7 linked regions of the Callithrix jacchus genome follow. The main gene of each other region encodes a partner of the protein of the gene in region 2 in a complex. Links are inferred from orthologs where the notes say so. Each region holds a gene or a part of one and is shown on either strand. Other genes may lie near its edges.

Region 1 (2,572 bases), on a different chromosome or scaffold from region 2:
AAGTCCTCACTTCTTCCAGCCAACCAACCAGCAGTTTAAAAGTTTGCCAGAATATCTTGAAAATATGGTAATAAAGCTCGCCAAGGAGTTACCAGTAAGTACCATAGATCAGCTTTTCATACCCTTTAGTTGACTTCTTCTTTAAAATTGCTATTGCTATGAGAACAAAAAACCCAGTTAATCATGTAAAAACACAAGCTCCCATGTTTTAGAATGAGGGAGAAACACATTTAAATAACACATTTACAGGAAATACATGAGTTGATAAAGAAGTAACTGATAATTTTCTATACAGCATGTACTTTCACAGGGCTAGGCGTGGTGGCTCAGGCCTGTAATCCCAGCACTTTCAGAGGCCAAGGCAGGCGGATCACAAGATCTGGAGATCAAGACCATCCTAGCCAACATGGTGAAACCCCTGTCTCTACTAAAATACAAAAAATTAGTCAGGCGTGCACCACCACGTAGTCCTAGCTATTCAGGAGGCTGAGGCAGGGGAATTGCTTGAACCTGGGAGGCGGAGATAGCAGTGAGCCGAGATTGTGCCACTCTACTCCAGCCTGGCAACAGAGCAAGACTCTGTCTCAAAAATAACTAAATATGTTCAAAAATCTTTGGTGATGAAAAAGAAAAAAAATAAATACAATTCACGGTACTTTGGGTAAACTGTTAAGCACCTATACATGCAGACGTGAATTTTTCCTGTTTGCCATTGCATTATATTGTCTTTTTTCAAAGAAAAAAGAATCAAACTTTTTAAGAACACTTGCTACTAGCTTCCTTGAGGCCTTACTAAACCCTGGATATTTGCAAATCTTGGCACTGTGCTTTTCACTGCCTTCCTGCTTCCCAGATTGGGGCTGGGGAGTCTTTCTAACTCCGGGGTCTTCCCCAGTTCACTCCTGCAGGTGAAGACAGTCCCACTTAGAAACCTTACCTGATACTGTCATATAACAATGTCAGGGGTGAAATTCTGATGCCCCCTGTACTTGGAATCTTACAACCATCCTTATCTAAACAGAGTACCTGCTACCTTACTTCAGAGGCTGGCATTCTTTCAAACATTCTTCTTTCTCATTTTTAGCCTCCTTCTGAAGAAATAAAAACAGGTGAGGATGAAGATGAGGAAGATAATGATGCTTTACTGAAAGAAAATGAAAGTAAGAATTGTATTTGCTTGGTTATTTTACAAAATTGAAGAAGATTGGGTTTTTTTGTTGATAGGTACCTTAATTTGGTCAACTTCTCAACTTCTCCCATTTTATCTCGACTGTTTCTTACAGTGAGGAATTTAAAACATTGCTTAATAATAACTTTAAAAATACTACATTTTATGCAATAACATTGGGAAGTAATGATGATACTTTGAAAGGGAAGGAAAATACATTTGAAGGTGACCCATACCTCTGTTAATTATTGGTGATTGGAGGGAGAGCAGCTCATTTCAGAGAAAGCCTTCATAATTGTAACAGATGTAACAGCTTTAGCTTTGATAATTGACCATGCTTATGGAAAATATTTAAAAATAATTGTTTACTTTTAAAATAAAGTCTACTAACGGTGATTAATAACTCATTGGCCCCATAGCTTTCCATTTCTGTTGTATACTTAGAATTGCACATGTCCTTGTACTCTGCACATAATTTATATTCTTTTCATTTTCTAGGTCCTGATGTTCGGCGAGACAAACCTGTAACAGGAGAACAAATAGAGGTATTTGCCAACAAGCTGGGTGAACAATGGAAGATTCTGGCTCCCTACTTGGAAATGAAAGACTCAGAAATTAGGCAGATTGAGTGTGACAGTGAAGACATGAAGATGAGAGCTAAGCAGCTGCTAGTTGCCTGGCAAGATCAAGAGGGAGTTCATGCGACGCCTGAGAATCTGATTAATGCACTGAATAAGTCTGGATTAAGTGACCTTGCGGAAAGTCTAACTAATGACAATGAGACAAATAGTTAGCTTCTTTTTTTTCTTTTTATTAAAACTGTGATAAGATTTTGTTACCAAGCAGCATTTGGTAAGAGGTCCACTGGTTTTGGTAAACAATAAACATTTTTATAACAATTGTACAGTCGGCTGGTGCTCTAAGAACAATAGAACACATATTGGCTCAAACCAGAGTTTGGGGAAGTTGGGAGGGTGGGTTGAGAAAATGACCTAAACGAAGTGACCTCAAGATCACAAAATATATTTCTGTTAAGTAGATGTATTTATAATGAAGTGAAATAAGCACTACTTAGGGATATGTTGTTTCCTATACCAAATTAGTTTCCTGTTTGCTGTTAGTAGTTACAAAATCTAGCTCTCCTGAAATCCCAGAATAACACTTTCTGAAACATATGACTGTTCTGTTCTCACTTATTCGTGCTTTCAAGTAGAGGATCAGCAAATGATGGTCTGTTCTCCCTGCCACAAGTCTTGATCACTAAAATTGTACTGGCACCTAGCTGTGCTCACTCATACTATCTGTAGCTCCAGCTATACTACAACAGCAAAGCTAAGGAGCTGCAATAGACACTTTATAGCCTGCAAAGCCTGCAATATTTACTATCTTGTCCATTACAGAAAA
Region 2 (4,297 bases):
GACAGAAGACCACTTGAAAAGAAGTTCCTAATACTAGATGGAGAGTGGCTTGGCTATTTTACCCTACATATTGGGGTTGAGAACTTAAAAGTGTAGTTCCACTCCTTCTATGCAGAAAGTCTCTCCTGCCCTCCCTCCTTCCTGCAGGCAAATGTACAGGCCAGGGCCTGTTTCCTCACCCTATCTTACCTCTCCCCTACTTCGCCTTCATTCTGCAGGGCCGCCTGGTGTGTGGAGGGGGGTCAGTGACTCTGGGGGTCTCCACAGTGACCCCCATACCTCATCATGAACCCTTGGGTAGCTTGATTCTGTTTCCCATCCAGGAAAACTTGTGCTGGAGTTGTTGATGGAACCAATTAAATATTTACTATAAACCACAGTGTCCTTTCTTCATCTGCAAGGAACTTTAGCAGGTGCCTAAGGCAGGGCACAGTAGAGCTGGTGGGCTTAGTCCCATATGGCAGATCTGTCCTCCTGGAGGGTATTATGTTCTTGAGCTATTCTCAAGAATCAGTAGTGGCTGCGCATGGTGGCTCAGGCCTGTAATCCCAGTACTTTGGGAGCCCCAGGCAGGCAAATCACTTGAGGTCAGGCCTGGGCAACATGGTGAAATCCTGTCTCTACTAAAAATACAAAAATTAGCTGTGCATGGTGGTGCATGTCTGTAATCCCAGCTACTTAGAAGTCTGAGGCAGGATAATCATTCAACCCTGGAGTCCTAGGTTGCAGGAAGCCAAGATCACCCCACTGCACTTCAGCCTGGGCAACAAAGCGAAACTCTGTCTCAAAAACAAACAAACAAACAGTATTTTCCTCCTTGCTCCAGGGAAGGAGACAGAACTGTCCCTGTACAACCAGGAATTTGGGCCACGTGGTAATAGCTCCAGATAAGTAGGATTTACACAAAAAAATCCTGGACTCTGTAGAGTTCACACCAGGGGTAGAAAATACTTGAAGCGTTCAAATACTGCATTAGTTGTGACTCTGTCCTGGGCAAATCGGGCATAAAATGGGAGAAATTAGTGACGCACTCCTCAAAAAACCAAGTATAGAATGAAGTTAATGCCCTTCCTGACTTGTTGCCTTCACTAATGTGGCATATGGTAGTCAAAATAGTAATTAAGCAGCAAGGAAGAATCGAGGTTATGGAGCCAAATCCTCTAGGGCCCAAATCTTCCCGCCCGCTACCAGGCAGGTTCTTTCGTGTTATGTTGGACATAACATTCATTTAATTACTTGGTGGAGCGCCCACTAGTTGCTGGGCACGGCCTTAGGCCCTGGGGACAGTGAACGAGGCAAGTGTCTTAATTTTAGAAGGCAGTGTGGGATTGTTGCCCTGATGGGACCCGTCGCCTACTAGCTCGCCTGTCACCCCTCCGCAAGGCTCACTAGGCCCCCACCTCACTCGTGGGCCTCCATGCTCCACTTCTGGCCTCCACGCCTCGCTTCCGGTCGGCCGCCCCTTCCTTACTTCCGCTTCTCTATGGTGCGCGGGCCGCCTTTGCTCCGCCTCCGGAAGCGGCCTGTTCCGCGTCTCAGGTTCGCGGAGCTGTGAGGTGAGGAGCGGATTTGGGTAGCGGGGCTGGGAGATGGGGCGGGGCCGGGCGCTCCGGGACTGAGGTGCTGATCGCCTGAAGGGCGCCCCTGGGTTGAGGTCTGAGCCAGCTTCTCCTCCCTCACTACTCAGTCCCCGGCCGCTGGGTGCTGCGCTGTTACCTCATCCGAAAAATGTTCGCTGCAGCATCTTCAGGCCTCATGTTCGAGCCTTTTTTTGTTGTTGGTGGTGGTGATAATGTAGCCTGATGGGGGGGGGGTGGTGGTGGTGGTGGTGGTGTTGGTAACAAGTCACACATATTGTGCTCTCCTGTGTGCTAAGCATTCTGCTGTCTTGCGAAAGTCAGAATTTCCCACACTTAAGCCTTTCGGGTCCTGTCTTTGTGTAACTTAACACCTGTACTACCTTTTACTAAAAATTTTTAATCCAATGCTATTTATTTATTTTTGAGAAGGAGTTTCTCTCTTGTTGCCCAGGCTGGAGTGCAATGGCACGATTTTGGCTCACTGCAACCTTTGCCTCTCGGGTTCAAGCGATTCTCCCGCCTCAGCCTCCCAAGTAGCTGGGATTGCAGGCACCCGCCACCATGCCTGGCTAATTTTTGTATTTTTTATCGAGACAGGGTTTCACCATCTTTTGACCAGGCTGGTCTTGAACTCCTGACCTCATGATCCACCTGCCTCAACCTCCCAAAGTGCTAGGATTACAGGTGTGAGCCACCATGCCCAGCCTGTTTTGTTTTGTTTTTTTTTAAGATGTAATTTTGCTCTTGTTGCCAGGCTGGAGTGCAAAGCGTGATCTCAGCTCACTGCAACCTCTGCATCCTGGGTTCAAGGGATTTTCCTGCTTCAGCCTCCCAAGTAGCTGGGATTGCAGGCACCTGCTACTACACCCGACTAATTTTGTATCTTTAGTAGAGATGGGGTTTCTCCTTATTGGTCGGGCTGGTCTCAAACTCCTGACCTCAGGTGATCCACCTGCTTTGGCCTCCCTAAGTGATGGGGATTACAGGTGTGAGCCACCATGCCCGGCCTGTTCGTAGATGTTAAAGTCAAATTAGGGAACTGAGATATTCTCCTTGAAGCAAGCAGAAGTTTCAAAAAAGAATTGAAAAGGGATTAACTTTCTCCTTAGGTGTTCAGCATTATTTAAGATCATCTGTGTATCATCTGAAGCCACAATCCCAGGTCATCTTCATCACCTTCCTCAGTGGAATGCCTCCTGTGTTAAAGCCCACAACAACCCCTGTGGTAGGGACTGTTATTTTCATTTGATTTGTGAGGAATCAGACCCAGAGAAAAGTGAAGTGACTTGTCCTGGGATTGATAGCCATAAAAGAGTAGAATGGAGATTCTAGTTCAGGGTTCTCTGACTTTTTTTTTTTTGAGATGAGTCTTGCTCTGTCGCCCAGCCTGGAGTGCAACAGCACTATCTTGGCTCACTGCAGCCTCCACCTCCCAGATTCAAGCGATTCTCCCCTCTCAGTCTCCTGAATAGCTGGGATTAAAGGCGCCCACCATCATGCCTGCTAATTTTTGTATTTTTTGTAGAGATGGGGTTTCATCATGTTGGCCAGGCTAGTCTTGAACTTCTGACCTTAGGTGATTCGCCCACCTCAGCCTCCCAAAGCGCTGGTATTACAGGCATGAGCTACCATGTCCAGCCCTGGGGCTTTCTGACTTTTACCATGACAGACTGTTGGCTCCCTCAAGTCAGTGAGGTCAAAGCTGCAGTGAGTGATGATTGTGCCACTGCACTCCAGCTTGGTTGACAGAGCACGATGGATTAGGGTAAAGGGGACAGTGCTGCCCACCTCAGGAGGCTGTGTTTAGGCAACAAGGGAGGGTGCATTGTGGCCCATGAAATGTAGGTTCTATTCTTTAAATTCTAGGATGAACCTGGGAGTCGATGGCATTACTAGATGAGATGCTGGCAGGACAAGGAGGCATAACAGTGTAGTTAAGAGCACCAATATGGCATTGATTGGCTAGACCCAGATTTTAGCATACTAACCATGTGATCTTGGACAAGTAATTCCCCTGTGAGCCAGTTTTGTCATCTGTAAAGTGGTGGGAGTTCTTATCTGAAAAGTTTATTATAAGCAAATGAAGACATACCTTAAAGTCCTTAGATCAAGGCCCAGCACACAGTAAGCACAGTAATATTGGGAGTGGTTTTAAATGCTAGACCAAGGAGTCTGGATGCTAATTTATGGAGCACTCTGCCAGGCTCATGGGGAAGAGGGTAGAGCTCACAATCTAGGTGGGAAGACAGGTAAATGATTCGTAGAAATAAATTCCCTGATAAGATAACCAAAGTAGCCAAAAGAATGCTTTGGGAGACCTGACAGGCTTCCTAGAGCGGACGAGCATTGCTTAGTCTTGAGGGAAATAGGGAGGAAAAGGAAGATCTTTGCCAGCAGGGGAAAGGATGTGGAGTGTTTGAGGAACTGGGAATGCAGAGTGCAGTTGCAGCCAGGAGCAGAGGTTGGGGACAGTTGGAAGGTCAGTAGGAATAGGAATGCAAGAAATGCAGTTGGGAAGGTGGGTTGGGGACGAACCATCAAGGTTCTTCATGGTCAGGGAATGTGGATATCATTCAGTACATCATGAAGAGCCAGCAAAGGCTTTGAAACAGCAGAGGCATTAATTAGGTTGGTCTTTTTTTCCCCTTGAGATGGAGTCTTGCTCTGTCGTCCAGGCTGGAGAGCAGTGGTGTGATCTCAGCTCACTGTTACCTCCA
Region 3 (3,976 bases), on a different chromosome or scaffold from region 2:
AGAGCTCCATTATGTCCCCAGCTGGGGTCGAAGGGTAGGAGGGACTGGGGATGTCCCCCAGCCTCAGCAACCGGAGGGCTTCAGGGATGAGGCTGCCAGGGTATCGCCAGAGAAGCAGCTCAGAGCAAGAGCTCCTAGAAGAGGAAATGATAGTCGGCAAGGGGGCTGAGGCGGCCTAACTGAGCACCTCCCACCAGGTCCAGGTCCCCAGGGGCTCCCGGGTTCTCAGCACTTTCCAAAGAGCCAAGATGGGAAACAACCCAGAGGTCAGCTAGAGCTAAAAATGGCACGATGAGGCAGGGCCTGAGGTCAGCTCTGAGAACCGCCTGTGATCCTGCAGAAAGCCTGGCCAGTGGAGGAGCCTACCTGAGTGGGGGCAGGGCCGGGGGGAAGGTCATAGGGGGGCTGCAGTAGGGGTGATCATTGTGCAGGCTGAGTTGAGAGAAATGGGTGGCCATGTTCTCCTCAGACAAAAACTGCTTGCGCAGAGGCTCCCTGGGGAGAGATGAAAGAGAGGGAGGCTGGGAAACTGAGACAGGAGACAGCGTGTTGGGGACCAGAGGTGACAGAGATCTTGTTGGGAGTCCCTCCCTGCCCCCCAAACTCACTGCTCCTCCTCCAGGCGCCGCTTGGTGCTCAGGGGCACAGCTCCTCGGAGAGGGGAGCTGGGAAAAAAAGAGAGCCTGGTGCACCCCACCCTCTTGGCCCCTTCCCAAGGATCTGCCCGCCTGAGCCTGCAGCATCAGCCAGGAGCCCCAAGCCCATTCCTGTCTCAGGTGGTGCTTGTCCCCTCTCTTCTGGGCCATCCAGCAGCGTACCTCGAAAGTCTCGACCTTGAGCCGAAGACCCAATCCGGTCTCAGTTTACACCTAAGCCCCGCCGATTCGCCCTACACCGTGTCCATCTGCAGACCAGCCCTGAGCACCCAGCCAAAGCTCCTGCGGCCCTTGGTCAGGCCCACCCTGGTCCCCTACACGCACCTAGCGTCCAGGCCGCGAGTCACCCCCAAGGCGGCCCGCGGGAGGCGCTGGGCCCCACCCTGCGGGCCTCGCTCCAAGGGCTGCTCCAGGATCATTGGGTTTTGGGGTCCTGCGGGTGGGATCTGGGCGACGGAGGCGGAGTCTCTGAGGGCGTGGCCCAACGCGAAGGGGTGTGGCTTTAGGCGTGCGCAGCTGCGAGGTTCTGCGCGGGCGCGGAAGACGTGGGGCGCGTGGCGGAAGGCGGGCCTGTTCCTCGGGGTGGGGGAAGGGATCGGCTTAGCGGAACTGCGGTGGGCGTCACTTCTTAGTGTCGGGGGTTTTCGTGGTGCTCACCTCGGCTCCTGGGGTTCAGTACAGTACGCAGCAGTCACCTTCGCGCCGAAGGCGGCAGGGCGCCGCGAGGAGTAACCGCTCTAGGAACGTACGGCATCGTGAGATTGCGTTGCGCGCGAGCACTCTGGGACTTGTAGTTCTGGAGATGGAGCGAGCTGTGCCGCTCGCGGTGCCTCTGGGTCAGGTGAGACGGACGTGGTGCGCGGTGCCTTCTGGGGTTTGTAGTCCATGCATGACTTGGACAGGGCGGGCAGGGAATAGTGCCCCGAGCCCTGTTTTGCTAGGGCTGTTTGTGGGACTCAGATTATGACCGGGTCGGGGGGTGGGGCGGGAAAGTAACCAATAAGGCCTCAGGGGCTTAACGCAAGTCAGAGAATAGGGATTACAAGTCAGTACGTTTTTCTATGTTGGGGTAGTAGAGCCACTTTTTTTTTTTTTTTTTTTTAAATCGGGCTGGTCTTGAACTCCTGACCTCAGGTGATCCACCCACCTCTGCCTCCCAAGGTGCTAGGATTACAGGCGTGAGCCAGCGCGCCCAGCCGAGCAGAACCACTTTTTAAACACTTTTTTTTTTTTTTTTTTTGAGACCGAGTCTGTCCCCAGGCTGGGGTGCAATGGTGAGATCTCGGCTCACTGCAACTTGTGCCTCCCAGGTTCAAGCGATTCTCCTGCCTCAGCCTACAGAGTAGCTGGGCCTACAGGCATGTGCCACCACGGCCAGCTAATTTTTGTGTTTTTAGTAAAGACAGGATTTCACCATGTTGGCCAGGCTGGTCTCAAACTCCTGACCTCAGGTAATCTGCCTGTCTTGGCCTCCCAAAGTGCTGGGATTACAGGTGTGAGCCACCGTGCCTGGCCAAATTTTTAAATTTTTTTTTTTTTGTAGAGATAGAGTCTCACTATGTTTCCCAGGCTGCTCTCGAACTCCTGGCATCAAGCGATCCTCCCGCCTCAGCCTCCCAGATCGCTGGGATTACAGGCTTGAGCCATGGCACCTGGCTTAAGCACTGAGTGACAGCTTTGTGCAAAGCTCTGTCTATACACTAGCTCATCTAATCGTGACAATCTCCTGTGAGCTCCATTTGAAAGTTGAGGAAGCTGGTAGGAGAGGCTTGGGTGTTTGCTCAGAGGTTCATGAGGCGTCACACCTCAACTCTCCCCTTCTTCAGTGTCTTCTTGGAGCCACCTATGGGACTGCATGGGCAGGTGCTGGCTGCTGCAAAAGAGGTCTGAGAAGTCAGGACAGTGGGAGGCCTGGCAGGTGTAGCGGGGAAGCAGGGAGGAGTCTGTGGATGGGAGGTTTCAGATGTCCCAGGCAGGCCTCATCCAGTCTTTCCTTGCAGGCAGAGGTGTTCCAGGCCTTGCAGCGGCTCCATATGACCATCTTCTCCCAAAGCGTCTCACCGTGTGGGAAGTTTCTGGCAGCTGGCAACAATTATGGGCAGATCGCCATCTTTAGGTACCCTCTGCTGCCGTCCACCCATTAGCCCTGGCACTTGGTCTTCATGGGACAGATGCCCCTGTTTCTGACTCCTGGGTCCCCTCCATTGTCCCCTGCAGCTTGTCTGCTGCTTTGAGCTCGGAAGCCAAAGAGGAAAGTAAGAAGCCGGTGGTGACTTTCCAAGGTGGGTCTAGCTGTGGAGTCTGGCTTCGGGGCTTTGGGTGGGATCGGCTGACTTACTTCCGGATTTCTCTTCAGCCCATGATGGGCCGGTCTACAGCATGGTCTCCACAGATCGACATCTGCTCAGTGCTGGGGATGGGGAGGTGAAGGCCTGGCTTTGGGTGGAGATGCTCAAGAAGGTAAGGAGTGAGGCTGGGGCAAGGGCTGGGGTACCCAGACCCAAAAAGGGCCTTTGAGGTCGCCTCATGTTTTTCCTTTTGAAGGGCTGTAAGGAGCTGTGGTGCCGTCAGCCTCCATACAGGTGAGCCAGGGCCACGTGGATAGAGGGCGCATGGGGGTGAAGGCACTCCCTCACTTACCCTGACTTTCCTCCCCCAGGACCAGCCTGGAAGTGCCTGAGATCAATGCTTTGCTGCTGGTCCCCAAGGTCTGAGCCCCATGTGACTGTTGTTGGTCCAAACTTTGATTCTTCACTCTCTGCCTTTCCTGATTTGACACTGACTTCCTGCCTCACCCTCCTCCTTCACAGGAGAATTCTCTCATCCTGGCTGGGGGAGACTGTCAGCTGCACACTATGGACCTTGAAACTGGGACCTTCACGGTGAGCAGGGGCTTGGAGCCCTAGAGCAGGTCCAGGCCAGGGAGAGGCACTCTTCCTAGATCTCCTCACATTGCCCCTCTACTGCAGCGGGTCCTCCGGGGCCACACAGACTACATCCATTGCCTGGCATTGAGAGAAAGGAGCCCAGAGGTGCTGTCGGGTGGTGAGGATGGAGCTGTTCGACTTTGGGGTAAGGAGGTGGCTGGCTGGAGGGCAAGATGGCAGTGAGGGAGGCTGAGGCTCGTGGGGCACTACTTAGGGTGGGTTCTTTCCCTGCAGACTTGCGCACAGCCAAGGAGGTCCAGACAATCGAGGTCTATAAGCACGAGGTGAGGGTGTGACCGTGGCCATTGTCCTCTTTCCCAGAAACTCCTTTAACCCTCTAGGACTTCACCTCTTTCCCTCCTCCCCTTCCCCTCCCAGGAGTGCTCCAGGCCC
Region 4 (3,649 bases), on a different chromosome or scaffold from region 2:
GGATTACAGGTGTGAGCCACCACAGCCGGCCTATGTAAGACAATCTTAACAAACTATTTACTTCAAACAACCCTTCATTTTACCAATATATTCTTTTCTATTGAAAATGATTACTAAAGAACAAAACAATAGAGAAAACAGATCAACAAAACAAGAATCATATTATTCACATATTAAGAAGAGAGATATAGAAAGCAAGGCATATTATTTTACTTTGCATCTTATAATTACCTCTCATGCCAGTGACTTTTAACAGCATGAAACCTTTCCCCATAATAAGCATATGCCACAAACATTTTGCATGTAATTTCACAGGTTCATGGCCCTCCTAAAGCCTCTTCATAGACTCTGTTTTCAGAAGTGTGATTATTTCTAGAAATTGGCCCATTTTCCCATGTACATCCTAGAAATGCCAACTTCTAACAATCTTCAACTTATTTTGTAAACCAATCAATGTAACCAGTTAAAAACTACCTAGAATATTAACGAGCACAAACATATCCAGCTTAAAAGCATTTTATTAAGCATATTTCGATGTTGCTTCCTACCTTTTAAGAATAAAAAATGCCTTTTAATAAAAAAATCTATACTAAAGTCATTTTCCTTTGTGTAAGGAAATATGAATGAAATGTACATTCATATTTCAAAACAGCATATGGTACTGCCAAAACTTTAAATATCTCAAGAGCACACCACATTTTAAACACATTATGTTCATGCAGCTATTTCAATATTCCTGGGAATGGTGGGCAATTAGCCTATCTATGGCTTAGGATCTGTTTCCATGCTTGCGTCCTGAGCTTCTTCTACCTCTGAGAGTTTTTCATCATCTGTAATTGAGAAGGAAACATAAAAGCTTAGTCGAGTTTGCCTACATTTTATATTTAATGAACATATGAAAACATGTTTATCCTTTATTAACCAATACAATTAAAGCAAAGATGGCTACTAATTGAATCAAACTGTAAAATTTATGTGATAGATTTCACTTAAAAAAAAAATCTAGGCAGGTGTGGTGGCTCAAGCCTGTAATCCCAGCACTTTGGGAGGCCAAGGCAGGTGGATGACCTGAAGTCAGGAGGTTGAGACCAGCCTGGCCAACATGGTAAAACCCCATCTCTACTAAAAAAACAAAAATTAGCTGGCTATGATGGCATGTGCCTATAATTCCAGCTACTCGGGAGGCTGAGGCATGAGAATCACTTGAACCCGCGAGGTTGGGATTGCAGTGAGCCAAGACTGCACCACTGTACTCCAGCCTGGATGACAGAGCACGATTGCCTTAAAAAAAAAAAAAAAAAAAAAATGGGTCTTAGGCTGTTCTTGAAAAACAATCAGAAGGTCAGGTAACATAGAATTTCCAGCTGTCTACAGGGATATAAAGAGCAAGTCTCCAGTTCCCTAAAGCACCCAGCACTCAGTGGGTATGCAAATATTCTTAGGTACTGATTGCTTATTATTGCCTGCCTGGGTCCTGAGTTGTTACCTTATAGTAATCTACTACAGTGAACCAAGAAAAACTCCAAATCTATCATCCTTCAATTTTTCTTAATTTAAACCACTAGATATATCTTTAAATCCTGTATTAGTACAAATTAAGACTTTTCTATACATATTCAAGAAAGTTGAACATGAGTATCTTCTAATGTCATCCAGCTATACTGTTAAGAAATTGAAGGCATATTCTCTCTCCAAGATACATATTTCAAAAGGAACATCCCTGACTCATTTAAAAAATCTTCATAAACATTTATTTTGAGACTATTTCTACTTACTTTCCAATGTTTGCTGAAGTTCATGGATGGTACTAAGAAGAACATGAAACTGTTTCCGTCTCAATTCCAGCTGTGTTAACAAGAAAAAAATTTATACAAATGATGATCTATATATATATAGATATATATGATGATCTATTTATAGATAGACAGATAAATCACAAAGGCTAAATATCTATGCAAATACCTTATCTTCGACACTTTCTTTAATATGTGAAAGATGCTCTAATTCTTTTCCCAGAGCTTCTAGTTCCCTGGAAATAATAAAACAGTGTTACATTTTGCTGAATGGGGCAAAAAATTTACAATTAATAACTAACTTATTAGTTACTAGATAGAATTTTTAAAATAAAATTGAAAAAAAAACTTATAAGGAGTTATAACACTCCATTATGGTGAGACTTTTAAAAATGATTTCTTCTTAACTTTTAAATATGGACTTACTTTAATTAAAATTACACTTTCTGATAAATTTTTAAAGTACAGAAAAATACAGATAATAGAATAACAAGACCCAAGAAATGATACATATTGTAGAGCTTAACTTCAAGGGTCTTTTTTTTGTAAAAGAAATAAAACATTGCCAATTAACTTGAAATACCCTTTGAACCTTACCCCTAGTCCTCTATCCTGGGCCTTTTTATCTCCTCTACCTCCCACTCAGGCAACCACTATATCATTCTAATCCATTTTTACACATATACCTGTATCACTGAATAATATACAGTATTGGTATATAATATTTGAAAGGGGGTTCTAACTTTTATAAATTGTTATTATTCTATATGTGTTTCAGAAATTTAATAATAATTTTAAATTTATTATGTTTTTTCACTGATTATGTTTTGAGGAGTGTGTTTGAACAGTACAAAACTAGTTTATTCTTTTTTTTTTTTTTGAGACGGAGTTTCGCTCTTGTTACCCAGGCTGGAGTGCAATGGCGTGATCTCAGCTCACCGCAACCTCCGCCTCTTGGGTTCAGGCAATTCTCCCATCTCAGCCTCCCAAGTAGCTGGGATTACAGGCACGCGCCACTGTGCCCAGCTAATTTTTTTGTATTTTTAGTAGAGACGGGGTTTCACCATGTTGACCAGGATGGTCTCGATTTCTCGACCTCATGATTCCCCCGCCTCAGCCTCCCAAAATGCTGGTATCACAGGCGTGAGCCACCGCGCCCGGCCTAGTTTATTCTTTTTAACTGATATTTAATATTTTAATATATGAAGACCACATTTTATTTGTCCACTCTATTTGTCCATATTACATGCATTTATTTTAGACATATAGGTGGTAAGGTCAGAGGAAAATAAAATCTAACAGAGAAGTATTGGGAAATATAATATCGAAGACCTGAACCCTCCTTTTGAAACATATTTATTTCTGCAAAAATGAAATGCCTAGGGTAGTGTATCAGCATTTATGTATAAAGGTTAGTTCCTTTCAAAGTAAAGCTCTACACTTACTTTAATGTCTCATGCCTGTCTGGATGATGCTGGATCACTTTTGCCAAAGCATCATATTCTGAAAGACATAAAAATGTTTATCAAACTAAGGGCTTATCAAAACAAAATGTGTAATATCACAAGCCTCTCCTAACCACTTCCCTAGTACATCAAGAAATGAAATCATTGAAAGATGAGTATTGCCAGTTCTAGTTGACTGAGTTATAACTATAATGACACATAACATCAAAAGTGTTCTAAACAGGGATTTTAGCTCCCTAAACTTCAGCACTTTTTTTCCATTTATATGTTCTGGACAGAACATAAGAGGTCAGCATAAAAATAAGTGAACTTAAGTTATTACTGATTATCAAATAGACTGATTCTGAGAAGGATCTTACTCACTAGTTGTCCAAAAAAAAAAAGAAGAAA
Region 5 (2,863 bases), on a different chromosome or scaffold from region 2:
TTCTGTGGCTGGCATGGATCTGTCCTCAATAATCTCTAGGAAAATAAACTTAAAAAATTAAGATCCTTGGCCAGGCATGGTGGCTTATGTATGTGATCCCAGCTCAGCACTTTGGGAGGCTGAGGCAGGTGGATCACTTGAGCCCAGGAGTTTGAGACCAGCCTGGGCAACATGGTGAAACTTCATCACTACCAAAGAAGAAAAAAATTAGCCAGGTGTGGTGGTGTATGCCTGTAGTCCCAGATACTCCAGTGGCTGAGATGGGAGGATAGCTTGAGCCCAGGAGATTGAGGGTGCAGTGAACTATGATTGCACCACTGTGCTCCAGCTTGGGCAATAGAGAGAGATTGTCTCCAAAAAAAAGTTTTTAGGAAAGGTTTTAGGAAGTTGTTAAAAGCCTTAAAACGACTTTTTGGGGGGCATGTTAGGGCACTTAAATGTTCAATTCTTCTAATACTGCTTACAAGAAGCATTTCTGGCTTGGTGCAGGGCAGTGGCTCATGCCCATCATCCCAGTACTTTGGGAGGCTGAAGCAGGAGCATTGCTTGAGCCCAGGACTTCAAGACCAGTCTGGGTAACATAGGGAGAACCCCATCACTACAAGTAGTGGGAAAAAAATAGTAGCTGGGTGTGGTGGGTGGCATGCACCTGTGGTCCCAGCTGCTTGGGATGGTGAGGTGGAAGGATCTCTTGAGCCCAGGAGGTGGAGGCTGCAGTGACTCAGGATTGTACCACTGCATTCCAGCCTGGGTGACAGAGTGAGACACCATCTCAAAAAAGCATTTCATTAATATACTTGTGAGTGGTCTATTTGCATTAAAAACTACTTTCTAGAATTAGGATAGCTTCCTTAGGTTTAATGTTTTGGTGAGCAGGAATATCAGTCACTCCTCCAGATCTTAATTCTAGTTTTTTACCACTTTTTCATGAGGTGACCTCATCCTTGTCTCCTGCCATGTCTGGCAATTTTGGTTTCTGAACTCTACCTCAGAGGGCAGCCTCCTTAGGTAAAAATCAGTGCTGAGAAAAAGTATTTCCTCTTCTGCTCTAAATATATAGTGGGGGAACAAGAGATGAAGAGGAATTCCTGAGAACATAATTACTGGAAATTCTTCTCTCCCACATAATGTCTCTCACACCATGGACCCCTATTCCCCAATTCCTGGCCCCCCTCCCCTCCACCCCGAGACAGGTGGTGATCTTTGTGAAGTCTGTGCAGCGGTGCATTGCCTTGGCCCAGCTACTGGTGGAGCAGAACTTCCCAGCCATTGCCATCCACCGTGGGATGCCCCAGGAGGAGAGGTGAGTTGAAGATGGGAAAGATGTTTTACATCCTTGGGAGAAAAAGACAATTGAGAGAAGGGAGTCTCAACATTTTTTAAATTTCCTTTCTCACAAAGGCTTTCTCGGTATCAGCAGTTTAAAGATTTTCAACGACGAATTCTTGTGGCTACCAACCTATTTGGCCGAGGCATGGACATCGAGCGGGTGAACATTGCTTTTAATTATGACATGCCTGAGGATTCTGACACCTACCTGCATCGGGTAAGCCCCACATGCTGAAGAAATCCCGTTCTCCCATTACCTTCTTTTCTATATCTTTTTGTACATTACATCTTCATCCTTGCCTCTGGGAGTCTCTTTCCTCTTGGGTCCTCAGTACTACCCTCTGTCTCCTTCCAGGTGGCCAGAGCAGGCCGGTTTGGCACCAAGGGCTTGGCGATCACATTTGTGTCTGATGAGAATGATGCCAAGATCCTCAATGATGTGCAGGATCGCTTTGAGGTCAATATTAGTGAGCTGCCTGATGAGATAGACATCTCCTCCTACAGTGAGTACTGATCTCATGAAACCCTTTAGATCATCCCTGTTCCTCAGTGTGTTGGTCCTAAATCCCATCATCTAGGTCATGGGCACCTGATGTGTAATGGACACTTGACCGGTTCATGTCCCCTGGCCTTCGATGCTGTGTTGGGTTATTTTCCTGACCTGTGTGTGGGGTCTTTGTCTTCTCTCATCATATTACATCCCTTCCCTCACCCGCATGTCTGTCCTCTGAACCCATACAGTACACCAGTATCTGCATGTATACTGTGTGTTCCTGCCTTGCTTTCCCCTTTTCATGCCTTATTCTGACCATGCTACGTTTTCTCCTCAGTTGAACAGACACGGTAGAGGACTCGCCCATTCTGGAATGTGATTGTCTGGCCTTCAGGAGAGAACAGGGTGGGGGTGAAGGAGACACTACTGCCCCCATCCCTGACAGCCCCCACCCCATGGCTTCCGTCTTTTGCATCACCACCACTCCTGAACCCCCATTTCTGATTTGTCAGAATTTTTTTTAACAAAACTAAAAATGAAACACACGTGTCTGTGGTATCTGTAAGTGCTTCGTCCCTTTATTGTATTTGGGGTGAGGTTATTTTAGGTCGTGGTCCTGAATAAATTCCCTGTAAGGCCTGGGTGCCCTGCTGTGAGGTCAAAGGGAGATGGGACTAAGACTCCAGAGCCCTGGCTCCCCCACTACCTGCCAATTGCCTGTGCTTTGTGGGGGGGTCTCTTCTGCTTTCTCTGCTCTGAGAGTGGCTTGGGTGTTTCTGATCCTGAAGTCCCTGGGGGGTGACGCACAGTATTTCCAGTGCCAGAGGGTGCTGTGGGCACTGGGGAAAGCTTAGGCACTGCCTTCCAGGCTCTCTCGGTGCCGCCTCATCTGTTCCTTCAGCTTCTGGATCTTGAGCACCAGGGCTTGGGCTTCCCAGGCTCCTTCCTGCCCTTCCAGGAGTGCCTGGTATAGCTCCAACTGCTGCTCCAGCAGCTCCTCAGCTTGGGCCAGCTCAGCTGTGCGGTGGGTCCCAGGGCCCT
Region 6 (3,500 bases), on a different chromosome or scaffold from region 2:
TCCTGCCTCAGCCTCCTGAGTAGCTGGGATTACAGGCACGCGCCACCGTGCCCAGCTAATTTTTTGTATTTTTAGTAGAGATGGGGTTTCACCATGTTGACCAGGATTGTCTTGATCTCTTGACCTCGTGATCCACCCGCCTCAGCCTCCCAAAGTGCTGGGATTACAGGTTTGAGCCACCGCACCTGGCCTAATTTTTTGTAATTTTAGTGGAGGTGGGGTTTCACTGTGTTAGCCAGGCTAGTCTTGATTTCCTGACCTGGTGATCCACCCGTCTCGGCCTCCCAAAGTGCTGGAATTACAGGTGTGAGCCACTGCACCTGGCCATTTCTCTTTTAAAATAATGTCCTAGGCTGGGCGTGGTAGCTCACACCTGTAATCCTAGCACTTTGGGAGGCCTAGGCAGGCAGATTACCAGTTCAGGACATCAAGACCATCCTGGCTAACATGGTGAAACCCTGTCTACTAAAAATACAAAAAAAATTAGCCGGATGTGGTGGCACACACCCGTAATCCCAGCTACTCGGGAAGTTTAGGCAGGAGACTCGCTTGAACCTGGGAGGCAGAAGTTGCAGTGAGCCAAGATTGTGCCGCTGCACTCCAGCCTGGGCAACAGAGTGAGACTCCATCTCAAAAATAAATAAATAAAATAAAATAAAATAATATCTTAGTATATGAGAAGAACACACTATATAACAAAAGATATAATATAACATTATGTAAAAACTGTATGTAGGCTGGGCATGGTAGCTCATGATATATGTAAATGTTAAGTAATTTGTAGGTGCTGGGATTACATATGACTTTTATTTTCTTCTAAACTTTACAGAATTTTTAAACTATTCTACAGTGAACATAATACTTTTATAACTAAACAATTTAAGGTGTAATTAAAATCAAAAGACTCGTTCTCTGGGAAGCAGAAAGAAAATAAAGTATCAGTGTTAGAAAGATCAAAATTCTTTTAAAAATATATATATTTCCCCCCCAAGATGGAGGTTTGCTTTTGTTGCCCAGGCTGGAGTGCAGTGGCGTGATTTCGGCTCACTGCAACCTCCGCCTCCTGGGTTCAAGCAGTTCTCCTGGCTCAGCCTCCTGAGTAGCTGGGAGTTTGCTACCATGCCTGGCTAATTTTGTATTTTTAGTAAAGACGGTGTTTTTCCATTGTTGGTCAGATTGGTCTTGAACTCCCGACCTCAGGTGATCTGCCTTCCTCTGCCTCCCAAAGTGCTGGGATTACAGGCATGAGCCACCACGCCCAGCCAAAAAAATTTTTTTTAATAGAGATGGCATCTCATAGTTTTGCCCAGGCTGGTCTCAAACTCCTGGGTTCAGGCAGTCTTCCCACCTTGTCCTCACAAGGTGCTGGGATTATAAGCATGAACCACCAAGATCAAGATTCTTACTTAATAAATGGAATGTTACTGGTCTGTCATGATCTAAGAAAAAAAATAAAATATTAAAAAATAAAAATTAAAAAATTAATGGACTGACTATAAAGATCGCTTATAATGTTATTTAAGGTATGATTCACAGGCCACTGCTGGTCCATGACCTAGCTGTTCCTGTTTAGCGGTGAGATAAATACAAAAATTGAGTGTAAGCTTTTAGAATGTTTTATAGCATTTTGATAGAGCAGTATCCAAGTGTACACTCATTTTTGTAATAATTGATTTTTATTGTTACTGCAAGAGTATTGCTCCATGACCTGATTGGGATATTGTAAAAAGCAGCCTTATCAGCCTACCTATTTAAAAGTACATTGAACTGGACAGAGTGCTGTGTACCTGTAGTCGCATCTGCTCAGGAGGTTGAGGTAGGAGGATTACTTGAGTCCAAGAGTTTAAGTTCAGCCTGGGCAACATACTGAGACCACTGTCTCTAAAAAGGAGTAAAGAAAATAAAAATACATTCATTTGTGAAACTCTGAAATCTGAGACCAGTGATTTAGTACTTAATAAGTATAAAGCACTTACTAGCCATCAAGCACTGTTCTAAATGCTTTATAAGATTTTTCATTTATGCAGATAGAATTTCTATAGCCTTTCTTTCCTGCTTGTTCTTCTGGATCAGCATGTCATTTTCTGTTGTAAAATAAGAATATAGAGCCCAGTAGACTGTTACATCATTTATCATGGATTTTGTATTTTGGTTACCTATGACTTGTAGGTAGCAAATCATACTGTTAACCTTCTTTGCTTAAAATTCTGAGGTCTTTATCCTTTGTGTTACTATTGAGCCTGTCCTCCCTTATCCAGTTTTTATATAATTGAAGTTTTAAATCTAAGTGTAGGAATTTATGTATATACCTTATTCCTTCTTTTTTTTTTTTTGAGATGGAATTTCGCTGTTGTTACCCAGACTAGAGTGCAATGGCACGATCTCGGCTCACCGCAACTTCCACCTTCTGGGTTCAAGCAATTCTCCTGCCTCAGCCTCCCGAGTAGCTGGGACTACAGGCACGTGCCACCATGCCCAGCTAATTTTTGTATTTTTAGTAGAGATGGGGTTTCACCTTGTTGACCAGGATGGTCTCGATCTCTTAACCTCGTGATCCACCCGCCTGGGCCTCCCAAAGTGCTGGGATTATAGGCGTGAGCCACCGCGCCTGGCTGACCTTATTCCTTCTAAATTAAATCTTCATTTGGCTAATTATTAGTCCTGAAGAAGTGTTTTTTTCTATTTCTGTTTTGTTTTTAAGCTTAGTTATGTCAGTAATCCATCAGTTCTCCTTCCATTGTCTGTAAAATAGATGATCATAGCTTCTATATCTTTAGTCAAGTTACTGATTTTTAAATCTTCAACAGAACTTTATGGTATGCCATTAGATGTTTCGTGCCATTTTGACACAGCTCCTTTAATCAGTTCATTGTTGACATTAGGTAATGCATCTACTTAATTCTATGGTGGTTAGACCTGTCTGGTAGATTGTAATAAAGGATGTGAGATAATAAGTGGTAAGGAGAATCTGCTTTTAGATCATTGAATTTTATACTTGAAGGTTCATTCTTCCCATTTGCTGGCTGCCACAGTAATCTTTAGAAAAAAACCTTTTCCCTCTTCAGAATATTAAGAAAATAACTAGACATTTGTGACGGTAAATAGATACACAAAATAGATGAGGTTTTTATTAAAGTGTGATGTTTATTTTTCAGCATCTGTTAGACAGTTCCTCCTGTATACTGAATATTGTTAGAGGAACATGGATCATCTTGGTGGACCCAGAGTCTTGATAGAATTAAAGGCGGTAATTCGGGATGGAATTTCGTTTTCTTTTCCTTTTCCTTGTGGGAACTACCACTTTATTCACTGGTGATCATCCCATTAACTAAGGAAAAGTTTTATTTTTTTCCCCATCAGCTTGCTGAACTAAAGCAAGAATGTCTTGCTCGTGGTTTGGAGACCAAGGGAATAAAGCAAGATCTTATCCATAGACTCCAGGCATATCTTGAAGAACATGGTGAGTACTTTGTAGAGGCAGAGTGATGTGAGTGAAGGGA
Region 7 (4,129 bases), on a different chromosome or scaffold from region 2:
CCTCAGTCTCCTGAGTAGCTGGGACCACAGATGTGCACCACCATCTCTGGCTAATTTAAAAATTTTCTGGAGAGACGGGGGTCTTGCTATGTCGCCCAGGCTTGTCTCAAACTCCTGGCTTCAAGTTATCCTCCCACCCTTGGCCTCCTAAAATGACGGGATCACAGGCATGAGCTGCTGCGCCCAGAAAAAGTGCTTAAGTTTCTATGACAATTACCTCAGATTATTAAAACTTTAAGGTGGCAGGGTGTGGTGGTTCACCATCTGTAATCCTAATACTTTAGGAGGGCAAGGCCACAGGATGGCTTGAGGCCAGGAGTTGGAGTTCAGCCTGGGTAACAAAGTGAGACCCAGACTCTATTAAGAAAATAAATAAATAAATAAATAGTGGTGCGTGGTTGCCAGCACCTGTGATCCTAGCTACTGAGGGAGGATCACTAGAGGCCAGGAGTTGGAGGCTGCAATGAGCCATGATCACACCACTGCACCCAGTTCTCACTCCGGCCCAGGTGAGAACCCATCTCTTTAAAACATACTAACAAGCAAAAAACCCAAAACAAACTTCAAGGCCCAGAAAATACCTGTGAAATTCTCAAAAATGGCAGAACCCAATCCAGCAATGAGAATGTGGAGTTTGGCTTTTTTTTTTTTTTTTTGAGACAGAGTCTTGCTCTGTCACCCAGGCTGGAGTGCAGTGGCCTGATCTGGGTTCAGTGCAACCTCTGCCTCCCGGTTCAAGGGATTCTCCTGCCTCACCTCCTGAATAGCTGGATCTACAGGTAGGTGCTACCATGCCCGGCTAATTTTATTTTTAGTAGATATGGGGTTTCTCCAGGTTGGCCAGGGTGGTCTCAAACTCCTGACCTTGCCTGATCCACCAGCCTCGGCCTCCCAAAGTGCTGGGATTACTGGCCTGAGCCACCACACCCGGCTGAGTTTGGCTTTTAATTTAGAGCAGTCATTTTCTTTTCTTTCTTTTTTTTTTTTTTTCTGAGACGGAGTTTCGCCCGTTACCCAGGCTGGACTGCAATGGCGCTATTTCGGCCCACCGTAACCTCCGCCTCCTGGGTCCAGGCAATTCTCCTGCCTCAGCCTCCCGAGTAGCTGGGATTACAGGCACACACCACCATGCCCAGCTAATTCCTTGTATTTTTAGTAGAGATGGGGTTTCACCATGTTGACTAGGATGGTCTTGGATCTCTTGACCTCGTGATCCACCCGCCTCGGCCTCCCAAAGTGCTGGGATTACAGGCTTGAGCCACTGCGCCCGGCCAGAGCAGTCATTTTCAACCTTGACTACATGACTTACCCAAAGAGGTTTTAAAAAAAAAATAGGTCCAGGTACTACGGGAGCGGTGGCTCACACCTGTAATCCTAGCCCTTTGGTGGGAGGCCGAGGTGGGTGGATCACCTGAGGTCAGGAGTTCGAGACCAGTCTGGCCAACATGGTGAACCCGTCTCTACTAAAAATACAAAAATGCTGGGCGTGGTGGCTCATGCCTGTAATCCAAGCACTTTGGAGGCCAAGGCAGGTGGATCACCTGAGGTCGGGAGTTCAAGACCAGCCTGACCAACATGGCGAAACACTGTCTTAAACGAACAAAAGAAAGCAAAAAAAAAAATTAGCCGGGCTAGCGACAGTGCCTGTGTAATCCCAGCTACTTGGGAGGCTGGGGCAGGAGAATCGCTTGAACCCGAAAGGCAGAGGTTGCAGTGAGCCGAGAGCATGCCATTGTACTCCAACCTTGGCAACAAGTGTGAAATTCCGTATCAAAAACAAACAAAAATAGGGCTGGGCAAGGTGGCTCACGCCTGTAATCTCAACACTTTGGGAGGCCAAGGAGAGAGGACTGCTTGAGCCCAGCAGTTCGAGACCAGCCTGGGCAACATGGTAAGACCTTGTTTCTATTAAAACATAAATTAAAAAAATACGAATATCTGGGCCTAGATTAAACCAGAATCTCTGGTAGTGAGGTTTGGAAATGAATAATTGTGGGGTGGGGGAAAGCTACCTAGGGGTGCTTCCAATGTGCAGCTAAAGTAGAGAAACACAGATTTACAGAGTGAAAATACAGGTATGCCTAGTTTCAAAATTGGATTTCAACTCCAGAATTAAGTAGGGTCTTTAACAAGGAACTGAGGATCTGGGGCAGTGATTAGGAAAGGTTTTCTATATTCACCTGGTAATTAGCTCGCAGAGAGCCCTCCACAATATTTAACCCTAACGCTGCCATTAATTTCCAACATTTCTCATTTAATCTCCCTACCATCCTCAAAGCCCTGTCAAGACTCCCACTTTTGCTCAACCCGCCAAATAAGTTCCCTTTTTATCCCTATCAAACCCAACCTCCCTCAATCCCGCCACCAGGTTCCAGTTCAGCCCCTCCCCCGTCCCCTCGCAGGGGCTCCGCCTCCTCCCCGGGGCCTCCACGCTCCGCCACCTGAGCCGTTTCCACGTGCCACCACCCGCTCTCCGCATCTACTGGCCCCTTCCACTCCCCAAGACTCCCTGCTCCTTCTCACTACCGAAACTCACCGAAGGAAACAGACGCCAGGGTTCCTCCCGGGGCTGCCACCACGGCTCCGGCAGGCGGGCCGGGGACCGGCCGAACCTGAATTGACGGTGGAGGGGCTCGGGTTAGCTAGATGGGCGGTTGGTTAGATGCGTAAGCTGTAGTATGCGAACTTAGTTTGTTGTTGCTGGTTGGCTGTCTAGTCGGCAAATCCGTCTGCTCACTCGGCCTGCCCTTTCCCGACTTTCGTCTGCAGCGGCCGCCAGCTCCGTCTCAGTGTCCAAAACAAAATGGCCGCCACGTCCCGTGCGTGTAGGACCGGCTAAAATGGCGTCTACGCAATTACGTCAGGAGTCAGATCTGCGCACGACTAGAGGGCGGGAAAGATTTGAGCTACGCCTGCGCAGAAATCAGAGGCGGAGCCTTATGGCGAAGGCGGGGCTTGAGCAAACGTTACTTTAGCGTTGCAAGCAGTGCTCCGTCCCCCCAGGGGCGTGGCCAGTGGTCCCGTAGTGGGGTCGTGCAGGGTTACCGTAGGCCGTTACCGTAGTGGTTGCACGGCGACTTCCTGGGGTAGTTCGTAGAGGGGATTTTAGTCCCGAGTTCCCTCGTCCCCCCGTTCCCCAGCCAAGGTACACAGTTTAAAAATCTTTACACGGGCGGAGCGCGGTGGCTCACGCCTGTAATCCCAGCACTTTGGGAAGCCGAGACGGGCGGATCACGAGGTCAAGATATCGAGGCCATCCTGGCCATGGTGAAACCCCGTCTCTATTAAAAAAAAAATAAAATAAAATCTTTACATGGACTTGCCTCATCTTCTACCGGACCACTGGGCCTGGGGAATTTGTACTGGTTTTCCCCTCATGTCCACTCGCCCAGTCTGAGAGTTGTGAAGTGCCGTAAATGCTCCGGCCAAGGCCCAGGAGGCCAGTATTGGGAGCACACTCCTCGCGGATCCTTCGCCGGCTCCACGGCCGCCCGTCCATGTTTTCCTCCTCACTTCCTCCTCTCCCCACAATACTGTTTAATCCTTCTTGTGAGGGCACCTTTGCATCTCCGATTTCTCTTCCATGTCCTCCCTCCACACCTGCCATCCGTGTTGATTTTGTTGCAGACCTACAAAGGGATTTATCTTTTCTCTCTGATTTTTTGTTGTTGTTTTGCGACGGGCTGTTCAGGCTGCAGTCAGTGGCACAATCAAGGATCACTGCAGCCTTGATCTCCTGGGCTCAGATGATCCTCCCACTTCAGCCTCCCGAGTTCTGGGATTATAGGCGTGAGCTATGTGCCCTGCTCAATAAGGAATTTTTCTTTCTTTCTTTCTTTTTCTTTTTGCAGATGGAGTCTCCGTCACCCAGACCGGAGTGCAATGGTGCAATCTCGGCTTACTGCAACCTCTGCCTCCTGAGTTCAAGCAATTCTCCTGACCTCAAATGATCTGCCCTCCTCTGTTACCTAAAGTGCTGGGATTACAGTCATGAGCCAACGCGCCCGGCCTCAGTAAAAGATTTTTTAATGGTTTTGTACACAATACAGTGTGCATACGTTTGATTAATGAGAGAATGCAACCCCGCCCCATAGGCACGTCAAGACCCTTTCATTTTTCCTTCCTGGCA

What was found.
Region 1: the proteins of THOC5 (region 2) and THOC1 are in contact, whole or in part, in a cryo-EM structure (PDB 7APK), measured with the Homo sapiens proteins. The link is inferred for Callithrix jacchus from reciprocal best matches to the Homo sapiens genes THOC5 and THOC1. Residues at the interface, in NP_001002877.1 of Homo sapiens: Tyr52, Arg113, Lys120, Asp124, His127, Leu128, Gln131, Asn132, Leu134, Tyr135, Glu136, Met138, His139, Thr145, Lys146, Glu149; in NP_005122.2 of Homo sapiens: Glu60, Arg145, Arg146, Leu147, Ser148, Ser150, Gln151, Lys285, Met286, Leu289, Val296, Tyr297, Phe298, Leu302, Ser304, Leu307, Leu310, Gln311, Ser313, Asp314.
Region 3: the proteins of THOC5 (region 2) and THOC6 are in contact, whole or in part, in a cryo-EM structure (PDB 7APK), measured with the Homo sapiens proteins. The link is inferred for Callithrix jacchus from reciprocal best matches to the Homo sapiens genes THOC5 and THOC6. Residues at the interface, in NP_001002877.1 of Homo sapiens: Pro406, Gly407, Asp538, Ile539, Val540, Asp541, Ala542, Gly543, Leu544, Ser575, Ile576, Ser593, Asp596, Arg599, Glu602, Gly603, Asn606, Val607, Tyr609, Arg660, Phe662, Arg663, Gly664, Pro665, Ser666, Arg667; in NP_001334633.1 of Homo sapiens: Val5, Pro6, Ala8, Val9, Pro10, Leu11, Gly12, Gln13, Val16, Phe17, Leu20, Gln21, Leu23, His24, Met25, Thr26, Phe28, Tyr45, Tyr80, Asp94, Glu125, Val126, Pro127, Glu128, Asn130, Gly146, Tyr170, His172, Glu188, Trp222.
Region 4: the proteins of THOC5 (region 2) and THOC7 are in contact, whole or in part, in a cryo-EM structure (PDB 7APK), measured with the Homo sapiens proteins. The link is inferred for Callithrix jacchus from reciprocal best matches to the Homo sapiens genes THOC5 and THOC7. Residues at the interface, in NP_001002877.1 of Homo sapiens: Pro48, Asp51, Tyr52, Tyr55, Cys59, Leu62, Gln63, Met66, Ala67, Gln70, Phe95, Lys99, Leu101, Asn102, Ala105, His106, Arg108, Leu109, Gly112, Arg113, Gln115, Thr116, Ala119, Lys120, Val123, Tyr126, His127, Leu130, Leu133, Glu136; in NP_079351.2 of Homo sapiens: Ala21, Asp23, Ile27, Leu30, Val31, Phe34, Tyr50, Met53, Leu54, Leu57, Cys60, Glu61, Met64, Gly65, Thr67, Leu68, Val70, Tyr71, Asn74, Met78, Tyr81, Ile84, Tyr85, Ile88, Glu89, Ser91, Ile92, Ala95, His96, Lys98.
Region 5: THOC5 (region 2) and DDX39B share a complex: the UniProt entries of both Homo sapiens proteins name them as parts of the transcription/export (TREX) complex. The link is inferred for Callithrix jacchus from reciprocal best matches to the Homo sapiens genes THOC5 and DDX39B.
Region 6: THOC5 (region 2) and SARNP share a complex: the UniProt entries of both Homo sapiens proteins name them as parts of the transcription/export (TREX) complex. The link is inferred for Callithrix jacchus from reciprocal best matches to the Homo sapiens genes THOC5 and SARNP.
Region 7: THOC5 (region 2) and CHTOP share a complex: the UniProt entries of both Homo sapiens proteins name them as parts of the transcription/export (TREX) complex. The link is inferred for Callithrix jacchus from reciprocal best matches to the Homo sapiens genes THOC5 and CHTOP.

What each region holds. Positions count from the first base shown.
Region 1 is NC_133514.1:63,815,287-63,817,858, forward strand, and holds the end of THOC1 (THO complex subunit 1), read left to right. Parts: coding exon 1-94; intron 95-1,084; coding exon 1,085-1,160; intron 1,161-1,666; coding exon 1,667-1,962; 3' UTR 1,963-2,072; downstream 2,073-2,572. UniProt on the Homo sapiens protein: Component of the THO subcomplex of the TREX complex which is thought to couple mRNA transcription, processing and nuclear export, and which specifically associates with spliced mRNA and not with unspliced pre-mRNA.
Region 2 is NC_133502.1:200,157,518-200,161,814, reverse strand, and holds the start of THOC5 (THO complex subunit 5), read left to right. Parts: upstream 1-1,497; 5' UTR 1,498-1,556; intron 1,557-2,689; 5' UTR 2,690-2,769; coding exon 2,770-2,805; intron 2,806-4,297. UniProt on the Homo sapiens protein: Component of the THO subcomplex of the TREX complex which is thought to couple mRNA transcription, processing and nuclear export, and which specifically associates with spliced mRNA and not with unspliced pre-mRNA.
Region 3 is NC_133513.1:5,170,985-5,174,960, forward strand, and holds the start of THOC6 (THO complex subunit 6), read left to right. Parts: upstream 1-1,176; 5' UTR 1,177-1,458; coding exon 1,459-1,497; intron 1,498-2,482; exon of another isoform or gene 2,483-2,501; coding exon of another isoform or gene 2,502-2,540; intron 2,541-2,656; coding exon 2,657-2,772; intron 2,773-2,873; coding exon 2,874-2,938; intron 2,939-3,012; coding exon 3,013-3,116; intron 3,117-3,200; coding exon 3,201-3,238; intron 3,239-3,315; coding exon 3,316-3,364; intron 3,365-3,466; coding exon 3,467-3,538; intron 3,539-3,625; coding exon 3,626-3,728; intron 3,729-3,817; coding exon 3,818-3,867; intron 3,868-3,961; coding exon 3,962-3,976. Other genes in the region: HCFC1R1 (host cell factor C1 regulator 1), read right to left, coding at 1-134, 367-495, 609-665, 981-1,075. UniProt on the Homo sapiens protein: Component of the THO subcomplex of the TREX complex which is thought to couple mRNA transcription, processing and nuclear export, and which specifically associates with spliced mRNA and not with unspliced pre-mRNA.
Region 4 is NC_133516.1:45,607,377-45,611,025, forward strand, and holds the end of THOC7 (THO complex subunit 7), read right to left. Parts: intron 3,297-3,649; coding exon 3,239-3,296; intron 2,030-3,238; coding exon 1,963-2,029; intron 1,846-1,962; coding exon 1,776-1,845; intron 831-1,775; coding exon 763-830; 3' UTR 501-762; downstream 1-500. UniProt on the Homo sapiens protein: Component of the THO subcomplex of the TREX complex which is thought to couple mRNA transcription, processing and nuclear export, and which specifically associates with spliced mRNA and not with unspliced pre-mRNA.
Region 5 is NC_133505.1:39,016,320-39,019,182, reverse strand, and holds the end of DDX39B (spliceosome RNA helicase DDX39B), read left to right. Parts: intron 1-1,193; coding exon 1,194-1,303; intron 1,304-1,401; coding exon 1,402-1,546; intron 1,547-1,684; coding exon 1,685-1,832; intron 1,833-2,159; coding exon 2,160-2,176; 3' UTR 2,177-2,363; downstream 2,364-2,863. Other genes in the region: MCCD1 (mitochondrial coiled-coil domain protein 1), read right to left, coding at 2,673-2,861. UniProt on the Homo sapiens protein: Involved in nuclear export of spliced and unspliced mRNA. Component of the TREX complex which is thought to couple mRNA transcription, processing and nuclear export, and specifically associates with spliced mRNA and not with unspliced pre-mRNA.
Region 6 is NC_133510.1:63,845,594-63,849,093, forward strand, and holds part of SARNP (SAP domain-containing ribonucleoprotein), read left to right. Parts: intron 1-3,155; 5' UTR 3,156-3,202; coding exon 3,203-3,247; intron 3,248-3,360; coding exon 3,361-3,460; intron 3,461-3,500. UniProt on the Homo sapiens protein: Binds both single-stranded and double-stranded DNA with higher affinity for the single-stranded form. Specifically binds to scaffold/matrix attachment region DNA. Also binds single-stranded RNA. Enhances RNA unwinding activity of DDX39A.
Region 7 is NC_133519.1:14,052,241-14,056,369, reverse strand, and holds the start of CHTOP (chromatin target of PRMT1 protein), read right to left. Parts: upstream 2,801-4,129; 5' UTR 2,537-2,800; intron 1-2,536. UniProt on the Homo sapiens protein: Plays an important role in the ligand-dependent activation of estrogen receptor target genes. May play a role in the silencing of fetal globin genes.